3 linked regions of the Cricetulus griseus genome follow. The protein of the gene in region 3 purifies or fractionates together with the protein of the main gene of each other region. This does not show direct contact. Links are inferred from orthologs where the notes say so. Each region holds a gene or a part of one and is shown on either strand. Other genes may lie near its edges. The genes, in order: Rmnd5b, Tceal9 and Armc8.

Region 1 (4,163 bases), on a different chromosome or scaffold from region 3:
GGGTCTGGGTCGGTCCTATGCTGGTTTCCCAGTGGCCTCAAACTCACTGTATGTGCCACTACAACCAGCTCTTTCATCCTTTTTAATTAGGGCAGATATGCAACCCCCTACTTCATCTTACCACTAAAGAGGGGCGATCCACAGAGAGCAGCAGGTCTGGGAGCTATGGAAGAATAGAATTAAATGACTGGCCAGGACAAAAAACAATCATCTTTAAGCATTGTGCATATGTAATGTAAACGTGTACGTGGGTGTGCTTGCATGTATAGATGCGTGGAGGCCACTTTATCACTCCCCACCTTATTCTCTCACTTTTTTTTTTCTTTTCTCTGTAGCTTTCGAGGTTGTCCTGTAACTCACTCTGTAGACCAGGCTGGCCTCGAACTCACAGAGATCCGCCTGTCTCTGCCTTCCGAGTACTGGGATTAAAGGCGTGTGCCACCCGCCTCACCTTATTCCCTTGAGACGCCATCTCTTACTGAGCCCGGAGCTCTGCTTTTCAACTCCATTAGCCGGCAAGCACACGCGGGTGTCCTCGTGTGTCCACCCACCATAGTGCTGCAGTTATGGGCCTGCGCCACTAGGGGTGGGTCAGCTTTAAACCAGTGCCAGAGATCCCAACTCAGGTCCTCAGGTTTGCACTGCAAACACTTTACCCATGGCCTCAGGACTCTTCCTTTAAACATTATTTGCTATTTCAAAAAGAATCACAGGAAATACCTAATCACTGGGCCACGTACATGTAACGGGCTTTTGAAATTTTTATTTCTCCGGTGCTGGGGATGGACTGAAGGATCAGCAACCTTTAAGCCGCTGAGCAACGCCCCCCCCTTCCCCTGCTTTTGTGTTTGTTTTGAGACAAGGTCTCAAATAGCTCAGGCTGGCCTAATTCACTATGTACCCTTGAACTTTTGGTCTTCCTATAATCATAGGCAAGTGCCACAGTGTCCAGCTTTATTTTCTGTGACAAATCTCACTTTGTAGTTCAAACTCGTCTGGAACTCGCGGCGCTCCTCCAGCATCAGCTTCCCCATGCACCAGCCTCGACATTTAAGAGTTAGGAATATAGACAGGACTAGCGGTTAGGGACTCCAATTAGGCAGGTACACCTGCTCATACTTCCGATAGAAAGCCGGGACAACCCTCCGGTGGTTCCGGTCGGCGGAAACCGAGGTTCGCTGCGGGTAGCAAGGAAGCGGCACCCGGACACTGCGCAGGCGCTGACTGCCTCCTGGCTCCCGCGGGCGATTCCATTCTGCACTCTGGGCAAAGCCACGGGATAGACGGACTGTCTCCCCACGCTCCCCGACAACGCGCATGGGCGAGCCCGGACCCACCCGAGGGGCAACTGCCGCGCCTTCCGGTTCCGATGACAGCGGCGCCGGAAGCCGGCTGGGCTGCAGGACTAGGTGACAGCCTGGGGGCTCTGGGTCCGGGGTGCGGGGCGCCCCGACCAAAGCCCGGAGCAGTCGTCTGCCACACCCTCCAAGGGCTGGTGGAGTCGCCCGACTCGGACGTCCTATCTTGGTGCAGCTGACTGGGTCAGAGGTAACCAGCTGCGGACGGTGGAGTCCTGGCAGGGCACTGCAGGAGGGTCTCTGGAAGCATGAGTAGGAGTTTGCCAGTCCTTAGCACCATAATGCGGGTGAAGTCCGGGTCGTGGCAGGGTAAATGGTGGGCTTTCCTGTGCTTCCAGTTTTAGGTGAAGATGTTACGATTTGAAACTTTCTAATGTTAACAGGGATATGATTTGTTTGAGGGTAAAGTACAGGGCATTGGATGTTGGGGTCTGAAAAGACGAGACCTAGATAAGGAGTCAGCTATGGAAAGATGTGAAGAGCCAGTTCCAGGCAGAGGGTGGAGGCAGAAATAAACTGTATGTACGCTGGAACAGAAAGGTCAGTGGTGGTAGAGTATGGCAAATGAGGGGGAGAGTGACTACAATGAGGCGTTTGTTTGGTGAATGCGTTTGTTTGTTTGTTTTGTTGTTCTTGCCTTTTGAGACAGGGTCTCTGATAGCCCAGGATGGCATGGAGCTTCCTAAGTAGACCAGGCTGGTCACAAACTCACAAAGGTGAACCTGCTTCTGCCTCCCTAAGTGCTGTATGTATTAAGGTCATGTACCACCACACCCAACCTCTTATTATATATTTTGTTTGTTTTGTTCTGTTGTTTTTTTGAGACAGGGTTTCTCTGTGTAACTGCCCTAGCTATCCTGAAACTAGCTCTGTAGACCAGACTGGACTCAAACTCACAGAAATCTGCCTGCCTCTGCCTCCTGCCCCACCATCAGGCCTTTCTTTCTTTCTTTCTTTCTTTCTTTCTTTCTTTCTTTCTTTCTTTCTTATTCATTTTGAGGCAGCCTTTCTTCTCCACATAGCCTTGGCTGTCCTGGAAGTCACTGTAGACCATGCTGGCCTGGAACTCACAACAAGCTATCTGCCTCTCCCTCCTGAGTTCTAGAATTAAAGGTGTGAGCCACTACACAAAACAGATTGTTTTAATTTTTAAAAAAAATTTTATGGTTATGGTTTTGCCTGCAAGTGTGTCTATGAACCACATGAATGCAGCGTCAGAAGAGAGCTTCAGGGCCTCTGGAACTGGTGTTACAAGGAGGTTGTGGGTCCTGGGAACTGAACCGATCCTCTGCAAGAGTAGCAAGTGCTCGGAAACAGTGAGCATCTCTCTGGCCCCTGTAGTGTGAATTTTTAACATTTCCTTCATATCTCTTTCTGCCCACTGGGAGCTTTTGACTCAGGCCTGCTTAGCCAAAGGCTGGAAATGGAGGTACTGTTTAAACAGTTAGAGCAAACTCTCAGGCCTGTGGTGGCCCAGGCCCAGAAGAGAATGAAACTAGTCTCCAGGCTTTGTTCAGCTGGTAGTCCAGTGCGGGGAAACACATGTGAAGAGACAGTCATAAGGATTCAGATCTGTGTGGGACTGACACATCAGATTTGTCATGCAGAAAAGGTGGCTGTACAAGGCAGCTGGCTCGATGAGTAGAAACCTCAGTTGGATCCCTAGCATTTATAGTGTAAAAAGGTGGCTGTAACCGGGGTGGTAGCGCATGCTTTTAATCCAGCAGATGTGGCAAGCACTTTACCAATGAAGCCATCTTCTCAGCCCCAATCCTCAGCTTTTTAAGTTTTCAAGAAGGTTCACTTGTTTATTTATTATGTATGCAGTGTTCTGGCATATACCTATATGTCAGAAGAGGGCACCAATTCTCATTATAGATAATAGTGAGTCACCATGTGGTTGCTGGGAATTGAACTCAGGACCTCTGGAAGAGCAGCCTGTGCTCTTAACCTCTGAGCTATCTCTCCAGAAATCCCCCTTTTTCTTTTTTTGACCATCTTCCCCAGCTGGTGGTTTGCATTTGCTCCAGTTTAACTTCCTGTTTGTTATAACTGATGGACCCTATGAGTTCATCACAGCCATATACACATACACCCTGCTTTGCTGGTCTGTTGTACAAAGTATCCACAGTGAGGACCTCAGCCCAGAGCTAGATAGCAGGCTTCCTTCTGTTCCCACTCCTCCACTTCCCAGCTGTGTGGCCTTGGGGTGTTTATTTTGTCTTTCCCTGTCTCATTTTCTCAGCTGCAAAGTGGGTCTAATAACCATACCTACCTCATAGTGTTGTGAGAATTGGTGAATGAGTTAATGGGTGAAGTCATTGGAGCAGAGCCTAGCACATAACGAGCCTCTGGGGAATGTTAGTTATTATCAAGCAAAATAATTATATCATTTTAAATGGGAGTCCCTGTTATATTTTACCCATAATATCTTATAACTGTTGAGTCTGTTTTGGGGGGTGTAACATCTCCGGACACTATGATTATAGATTTTAGTGTGTACAATAACATCAGCCAAGGCCAATCACTTTTCTGTCATTTGTCCACCATCTGGGAGGGAGAAAGTGGCTGTAAGTGGAGCTGAGATGGTAAAGCCGAGATGGGTGGTGCTTGTGGGACTAGGAGTGTGGAAGAAATAGGAAGATCCCAGGGTCACCATGGACACTGGCTTCTTGTGCTGCCATTCTTTTGGGAGAGTGGATAGCTGGCTACATTGACACCTTTAGAGGGACACATAACTCAGTCCTCTTATTTCTAGTCCTCTGCATGAGTGCAGATGCTCTATTCTGTTGCCAGCATTCTGAG
Region 2 (3,655 bases), on a different chromosome or scaffold from region 3:
CAGATCTGGTCCATTGGAGGTACCAAAGCAGTGTTCTCGGCTTTGGTACTTGAGAATTTTACAAAGCACCAGGGAACTGAAATTTTCAGAATGCAGGAGAGGGTCTGGAATACCATGTTAATGTCATAAAGCAGCTAGATGGGAGTCTAGACAAGTAGCACTCGCCCACCAGTTGGAGAGTGAGTTTGTTCTCAAGCACAGCATGAGAATTACTTTCTCTATGCTTCCAAATAGCAGGAACAAATCTCTAGCATTTGGATCCTGTGGGAGCAATGGTGATAAAACCCTGTCAAACAGCTCTGGGTATCTTATTTGGCCACCACAAAATTCCTACAAGACTATTATGCTTATTACTGCAGATAAGAATAGGTGTAAATTTTAATCTTTTAACTCAGTGGTTCTAATATTTTGTCAATGAATAACAAGTGCCCCAGCATTTTAGAAATTGATAAGAGCTGTTGGATGCTTATTTTTAGTTATAAAACCTTTATTATTTTTAGCAAGAATAATGCACGTTCATTTTAGGAATATGGCAAATACAAATAAGCAGAAGAAAAATCATTCATCTTTCACAAGTTTATATGTGCATTTATGTAGCATACAAAGGTACTCTTGTCTTTCAAAATATGATATCCTCATATTATTTTGTAACCTTTCCTCATTTTGTATCCCATCAGAAGCTCATTTTTTTTTTACAAATCAGTAAAGCTCTCTCATTCAAAGCCAAACACTTGTAGATTGATTCAAATATAAGCAACAGTAAGATGCAGACAAGAAGAGATACATCTAAAACCACTAATAGCAACAGATTCAAAATAGGGAGATGGGCAAAGGCATATCAGAAAATTGCTAATAAAAAGAAAGCTATATTGCAGTGGCAATACCAGATAAAACAGAAACCAAGGCAAGCTACATTAAATAGGGATAAGGGTGGTTTCGATTAGCCTTCCAACGCATCACTATAAGTTTGTTTCTCACTCTCCTTATCTCATCTACTTCATCCACATCCCTAAACATATCTTCACTGCTCAAATGCCTGTTATGTATATCCTCTTTAAAATCCTGAAGAGACTGAATCAGCCTCTCCCTAAAAGTTTCTTCCGATTTTTCCTCCTCTTCTGGTTCTTCCCCCTCCTCTGGCTTTTCCTCGGGCTTTGGCTCCTCCTCGGGCTTTGGCTCATCATTTTCTGGGGTTCCTTCCATTTTTTGGCAGGGTTTCATCTTGTGTGTGCTTCTCTTCCTTCTTTGCTTCTTCCTGCCTATTCGTGAATGCGATTATTTCTAGGAAGCAAGTAGAAGACAGTAAGCGGAAGACTTGGTAAGTGTGCAGGTGCTGTGCACAAAAGGTCTCCTCACCCTGTGCTCTCTCTCTCCCTGTCTCTCCCCACCCCTCGCCTCCCCCCTCTCTCCCCACCCCATTTTGGTCCAACTGTCCTCAGCAAATACCTTCCACCTAAGAAGCCCAGTCCGCAATCAAGGTTTCCCAGTGCCCGCCCCTCTTACCTCCATTTTCCACCCCCTCCCCTCTCTAGTCCCTCCCTCAAGCATTTTTTCCAAGGCCTTCATTCCCGCAGCGGGCCTTCACCAACCCACACCCTGGGAGTCTGGTATAAAGTTCCTTTCACTTACCAGGTACTGATCTGGTCAGTTTCTTTCTCCCACTTATTTTAGCCTGGAGCGGTACAAAGAACAAACCTGCAGGCAAACGGAGAAGGGAGGGGATGTTGGGGGTGGGGCGAGCGAGCCTTGGGCGCTCAGCAGAGCAGCACCACAGATCCAGCTCACGGATCTTTCCTTATTTAAGGTCTTGCTTACGGACATTTCCCACCCTTTGTTTCCCACAGGATTCCTCCTTCCCACCCCGCAAGTTAGCTTGTCTTTCTCATCAGACAGGGAATATTATTTCCCAACTGTCGGTAGATCCAAGCCGAGGTTTCGGAAGCCGAGCGGCTGTCAGAAAAGAGGTCCAAAATCTCAGAGTATGGTTATTTTTGAGCCGTCATTGGTCTCCTTGTTTTCCTTTTGGGACCCCCCGCCCCCAGTCCGGTTCCTTTCACGGGTGTCCTTTCCTGCAGAATTGAAGCTAAGGGGTGGAGGGACGGACTTAACTGGAACTCCAGTCTCTATCCTAGACCACCCTACACTAGAAAAACCCAAGCAATACCCCCTCTGACACCAACCTGGAGAATTTAAACAAGCTGTCTCCTCCTTCCGCGGGCCTCTTACACCGCCGCCTGCGAAGCTGAAGGAAGCTGGTACCCAGATGGAAACAAGGACCAGACTAGCAGGATTTCTGCACACGTCGACTCCTGGTCACATGAGATCTACGTCACCAGTGAGCTCGGGTCCCCGATCTCCACTCCCACAAAAAGCGCGGCAGATGTGGGCCCGCCCTCTGCTCCCTCACCTACCCCCTTCCCGAACACACACTTGGCTGTGTCAGTCTTTTCTGCAGGAAAAAAAAAATGTGCGTTTTTTTTTTTCTGTTTTTGCAGTTCTCTGATTACTAAAGAGGAGCATCTTATTTTCTGGAGCTACGAACTTTTCCGCTTCACTTAATAATTGACCCTTCCTGTCTCCCACTCCCAGCTGCCAGTATCACTAACTCCCCAATCTGTTTCCTTAGCTCCTCCCCCTTCATCTGAAAAGTACTCCTTTGTTGTGTGGAGCCAGGTAGGTAGGGCACGATTGGGGACAAAAAAGGATCTTGGAATAGGACTGTGATTTCTTGAAAACATTTTAAACTTTGTTCTTAATACTTCTGTAATCATTTCAAAAGAAATGTCGCTTTACAGTCAGAAGTAACAGCCAAGTTATTTTAGATACATGCATGAATTCATACAGGTACATTACTTAGACTAGGGCCTGGTATATAGTAAATGCTTTAAGGTATGTGCTTTTTAAATGTTTATTATTTTCTGATGTCATTTAGGGAGAATTTTTTAAAATAAATAAAGATAATTATTTTATCTCGAGCCCTGCTGGGGGTACTGTCAAGAATTATGTTGCCTGAAAAATCATTACTTGGTCAATTATCAGGTACATATTGTTAACACAAGGTCTCCTTATTCTAAAGAAGGTGATACAGGAACTATCATGAATTGTTGGGATGTCTTAACACTGTGTTTTTACTGCTCCAAACCACTTAGCTGTAGCACACCTTCAACATTCACTCATTCCCATTTTATTTCACTTGAATAAATACAAGTGAAATAACATGTATGTATGAATATATATATATATATATATATATATATATATATATAGAGTTTGCTGCAAAGAGAACTGATGTGAGAACAGAGCTGTGGTTTGGACATGATTTGATTAATGGGGTAGGGGGCTCTGACTTCTTTATATTTGAAATGACTTCAAAAATCAAGTCACTAGTTTTATGATGACAATGATTGCTTGGGTTAGGGACTTGAAAGCCTCTTTAGGTAAAAGTACTGGCTTTTCACTTGATTACACATGCCCTGTGGGTGTCTAAAATGTCTAGAAAAAAATGTGGCATTGCTGCCTTCATGTTGTAGCTTCTCTTTGGTTATCTTAACCTCGGAGTCAGACTTCTGCTCAATTTTACATGTAGACAGAGCAGTAATTTAAGAAATGGTTTGTTCAGAACAATAATACAAGGTTAGGTCTCTCTGTGTCTTCT
Region 3 (4,096 bases):
TGTGGTCTCTCAGGAAGAAGGTATAATGGACTACAGATGGAAATAATTTAAAACAATTTGATTTCCCATTCAGCAACTTACAGTTATCACACTGCAGAGTCATCAGGACTATGAGCTCCTTTGGAGCACTTCTGATAACCTTGCATTTGCTAAAGTACACACACAACACAGGGCTTTGTACATCAAAGGCATATAGTAAGTAGCTTATTGAAGAGATTCACCCAAGTGTGTGTGTGTGTGTGTGTGTGTGTGTGCGCGCGCGCGTGTGTGCATGCACTCACCGGATCACAGGTCAGAGGTCAACATCGGTTATCTTTGTCTGCTTCTACCTTACTTTTTGAGACAGGGTCTCTCACTAAACCTGAAGCTCCCAGTTCTGACTATAGCAACTAGCTAGAAAGCCTCTAGGATCTGCCTCCCAGTACTGACATTACAGACATGTACTGACATTGTAGACATGCACTGACATTGCAGACATGCACTGACATTGCAGTGACATTACAAACATGCACTGACATATGGGGCTTTTTATGTAGGTACTGAGGATCCTAACTCAAGTCCTCATGCTTGTGAAGCAAGGAATTTACCCACTGAGCCACTTCCTTAATCACAATAACTTCTAATTAATAATTAATATTAAAATGGTGCTTGAGTTAGCTGTTTGAAAGGCAAAGTCTTTCCTTTAACCTGTAAGATCATTAAGCTCAAGACATTTTAAAGTGTTTCTCCAAAGCTCTGCCCTAAGACCAACGAATTGGAAAACTAGACCTTTGAGTTAGTTTATGCTCCCAAATGAGACTAGAGCTAAAGCAAATTCTAACTCAAAAATGGAAAATATTCTTCAAGAAGTTTTTTTGAGTGAAATAAACAGAACATAATCATTTACAAAGAAAGTGAGACAAATGAGGTTTTTGATTATCTACACTATTCAAGTTGATAATGTACAGAAAGAAAACAGGTGGAGCTAGGACTGTATTCTGGAACAGCACCTTACCAAGGGTGCTCAAAGGGTTGGGTTCAGTGTGTGTGTGTGTGTGTGTGTGTGTGTGTGTTGGGGGGGGGAGGGCAACCAAAAGTTTTTCAGATGAACTAAAGGGTATCTGAAATCAGGATGACATAATCAAAAGAGAACTGAACCATTAGGATACATCTTTCTTGTCTTTTAACTCAATTAGGGAGATCACTGGTCTGTTCTCCCACAAAACATTCATGGACATCGTAAGTGGACTAACAGGCTAATGTGCTCAATAGCTGGGTGAACAGCATTTCTCTAGTTGCAGTTTAAGTAAGCAGTTGAGTAAAATGGATCCAGGGATAGATCTGTTGATCACCTCCCAAAATTACATTTTGCACTGTATTGTAACTGTAGGTAGCAGCCTATTGAATGGCTCTAACCCTGGAGTGATGTACTAGGTGCCTTTGAACACGTGAGTGTGTTTGTGTAAGAGGTCAGAGCCGAGAAAAGGAACCGGTTGGAGTTGCAAGACTGTAGGAATCATAGCAAGTCATTTAGAATCCAACTACCATCTCAGTAAGTTTCAACAAGTCTCAAGGATGATCAATCGCTCTTTGCCTGCATACTTCTTTATTTCCAACAACAACAAATGAATCATTCATTGGTAAACTCTACTTGGCGTGCAACAGCTAAAACCTGTCGTGAAACCCTCCAAAGTTATCCCCCTGCAACTTTCATTCTTGTTCATTTCATCGATGCTCCTGTTCTTTTCTTTTAAGGACAATATCGTGGAAGGTGAACGTCTTCTTGTTGGTTTGTTGCTGTTGTTGTTTCTTTTTAACGTAAGAAGAAAAGAAATGGTATGACTTCTTGGCGTATCAAGACGTTCCCTTCTTGAATGGGGGAATGGGGAAATTTAATCTTGTTTTTTTTTTTTAATTACCCCTTTTGGTTCCTCCTTCTAAAATGTTTTGTTCTCCCTAAGGAAAAAAATGAACACCGGGCAATAGCAACATAGTTTCTCTAGTGTCCGAGCCGCGACCTCAGGAGCAGAACAGAGCAAAGCGGTTTAAATAACCACACACAATATAGCAAGAGTAGCAGCTTGAATTATATATATATATATATATATATATATATATATTATATATATCCATTGCCGAGAAACAAGCGGCTCTGGCAGGTGCCTGGGTGTAGGGACGTGACAGAAGACACACAGCCCTAGCCTGGCAGCTCTGTGCTGTGGCAGCGGAAGAGCTCACACCTCTTCTACCCACAGCCCGGGAGAGTGGAGTGGTCGCTCGGTCCCAGGCCTGCCCTGAACCTCAGCAGGCAGCGAGCTCGGTCTGGAGAGGCAACCGCGCAGAGAGGGAGGCAGGGGAAACGCTCGGCCAAGCCCAAGCCGCGCCCATGGGCCGGCTGCCTAGAGCCCGACCTCCCCGCCGGCCCGACGCCGCCCCGGGAGTCCGCACCGGTGGGAGCTCGCGAGTGTGAGACGCCTCCGGCTCGGCCCGGGCCGCGTGTGTCCCACCTACGGCCACCGCAGGGGGTGGTGCTCGGGAAGCTCACCGCGCCGGGCTCACAGAGTTGGCGGAGCCCGGGCTGCTGGGCGCCGAGCGGGTGGGTCACTCACCGAGAGGACACTCATGCGGATTGGGGTCTCCAACAGGCACGCCATCTTGAGCCTTCCCACCCGGCTGCTGCCGGCGCCGGCGCGCGGCCGGCACTTTCGACAGCCACCTATGGGGCCAGCAGCCGGATCCTCTGTGGAAAGCCAGACGAGCTACGCGGAACCGACCGGGCTCCGGGCGTCGCTTGAGCACCGAAGGACCGGGCGGAAGGGAGAAGAATGGGTAACCGCGCCGAACCCGGCTTACGAATCGTCCTCTCAGAAACAGCAGCTACTCTCGCTGGGGTCAGAGGAGGGCGCGGCCAGAGGCCTCCGCATGCGCAAAGGCCCGCCTGCCCCACCTTCCGCCTGCTGGGGGCGGAGCCTCACTCGGGCTCTGGGTACTGGTAAATTTCGGTTTGCGGGTTCTGTTTCCTAATCGCTAGTAGGTGGAGTTACCGACGTAGTTTGAAGTTCACTTTCACATTCGTTATCTCACTCTGCACCAAACTCCGAGCCTCAGTACTGTCCCCATCTTGGGGCTGGAGAAACTGGTCTCGAAACCGGGTCTCGTGCCGCTAGTGAGAACGGTGGTTTCACGCTTCAACGCTCAAGCGTGACCTGCGTTAACGTCGTGTGCCCGACCCACGCGTGGATTCTGGTTTAGTGTTCGGAATGAGCGAGCACTCCAGTGCCAAGACGCCTGGGTTTAATCCTTGCTACTTTAGTTAGCGCCTTTATCTTGGACAGGTTCCTTAGCCTCCTTTTATTTCAGTTCTCCCGACTGTAAAATAAGGGCTGATGAGAATAAATGAGGCAATAAACCAAACAACAAGCCCGGCATGTGGAAAGCCTTGTGCTCTCTATGTGTTAGCATTTTTCCAGCCTCTGAGTCATATGGGGGAGGGGTGGCGGGGAGGGGGACAATTGGTCAACTATCTGAGTATCGCGTACTAAAACACGCTGATAGGTGAAGCCATCTCTAATTAGGTTGTTACTGTTCCTCGGGATAAAGCAAGAGGCTTCCCAGTGCTCTTAGAGCAAAAGCCTATCTTTCTCCTCATTTCCACCTGTACTTTCTAAATTCATTGTATCATTTATCACCCCTGCTTATAGGTCTGTTACAAAATGTTGCACTTCTGGAAGACTGGAAGTTTAATAGAACCTGCTGTAACAGTATATTCTCTCCTAAATTCTGTAGCTTGCATCCTAACTACACAATGTTTGCCAGTGTTCGGCCGGGTGTTATTATTCATCCAATAACGTTGTTTAAAGCCAGTTTCCACATCTTTGAATTTTTTAGCTTTTCCCTAAATCGTAGTCTGTGAAATCAAGTTTTTTGTGTTCCTTTTTATTCTAGGATACATTACCATTCATAAATACAAATATTAAATGTCTATCTACCTAGCTCCTAAAATCATGTCCTAGTATGCCTGCTACAACCAGGCAGATTGTAACTGCACATAGTCTCTATAGCTATGTGAGCTACACTTCACTCTTTAACTCAGGCAATACATTTTCCAGGAACCCCT

What was found.
Region 1: the proteins of Armc8 (region 3) and Rmnd5b purify together in Homo sapiens (affinity purification with mass spectrometry; 4 studies listed by BioGRID and IntAct, with this or other methods). This does not show direct contact. The link is inferred for Cricetulus griseus from reciprocal best matches to the Homo sapiens genes ARMC8 and RMND5B.
Region 2: the proteins of Armc8 (region 3) and Tceal9 purify together in Homo sapiens (affinity purification with mass spectrometry; 3 studies listed by BioGRID and IntAct, with this or other methods). This does not show direct contact. The link is inferred for Cricetulus griseus from reciprocal best matches to the Homo sapiens genes ARMC8 and TCEAL9.

What each region holds. Positions count from the first base shown.
Region 1 is NC_048600.1:65,917,989-65,922,151, reverse strand, and holds the start of Rmnd5b (E3 ubiquitin-protein transferase RMND5B), read left to right. Parts: upstream 1-1,271; 5' UTR 1,272-1,409; exon of another isoform or gene 1,410-1,548; intron 1,549-4,163. UniProt on the Homo sapiens protein: Core component of the CTLH E3 ubiquitin-protein ligase complex that selectively accepts ubiquitin from UBE2H and mediates ubiquitination and subsequent proteasomal degradation of the transcription factor HBP1.
Region 2 is NC_048604.1:44,120,193-44,123,847, forward strand, and holds Tceal9 (transcription elongation factor A protein-like 9), read right to left. Parts: upstream 2,335-3,655; 5' UTR 2,181-2,334; intron 1,696-2,180; 5' UTR 1,630-1,695; intron 1,282-1,629; 5' UTR 1,222-1,281; coding exon 910-1,221; 3' UTR 562-909; downstream 1-561. UniProt on the Homo sapiens protein: May be involved in transcriptional regulation.
Region 3 is NC_048597.1:207,972,402-207,976,497, forward strand, and holds the start of Armc8 (armadillo repeat-containing protein 8), read right to left. Parts: upstream 2,883-4,096; 5' UTR 2,634-2,882; coding exon 2,589-2,633; intron 1-2,588. UniProt on the Homo sapiens protein: Component of the CTLH E3 ubiquitin-protein ligase complex that selectively accepts ubiquitin from UBE2H and mediates ubiquitination and subsequent proteasomal degradation of the transcription factor HBP1.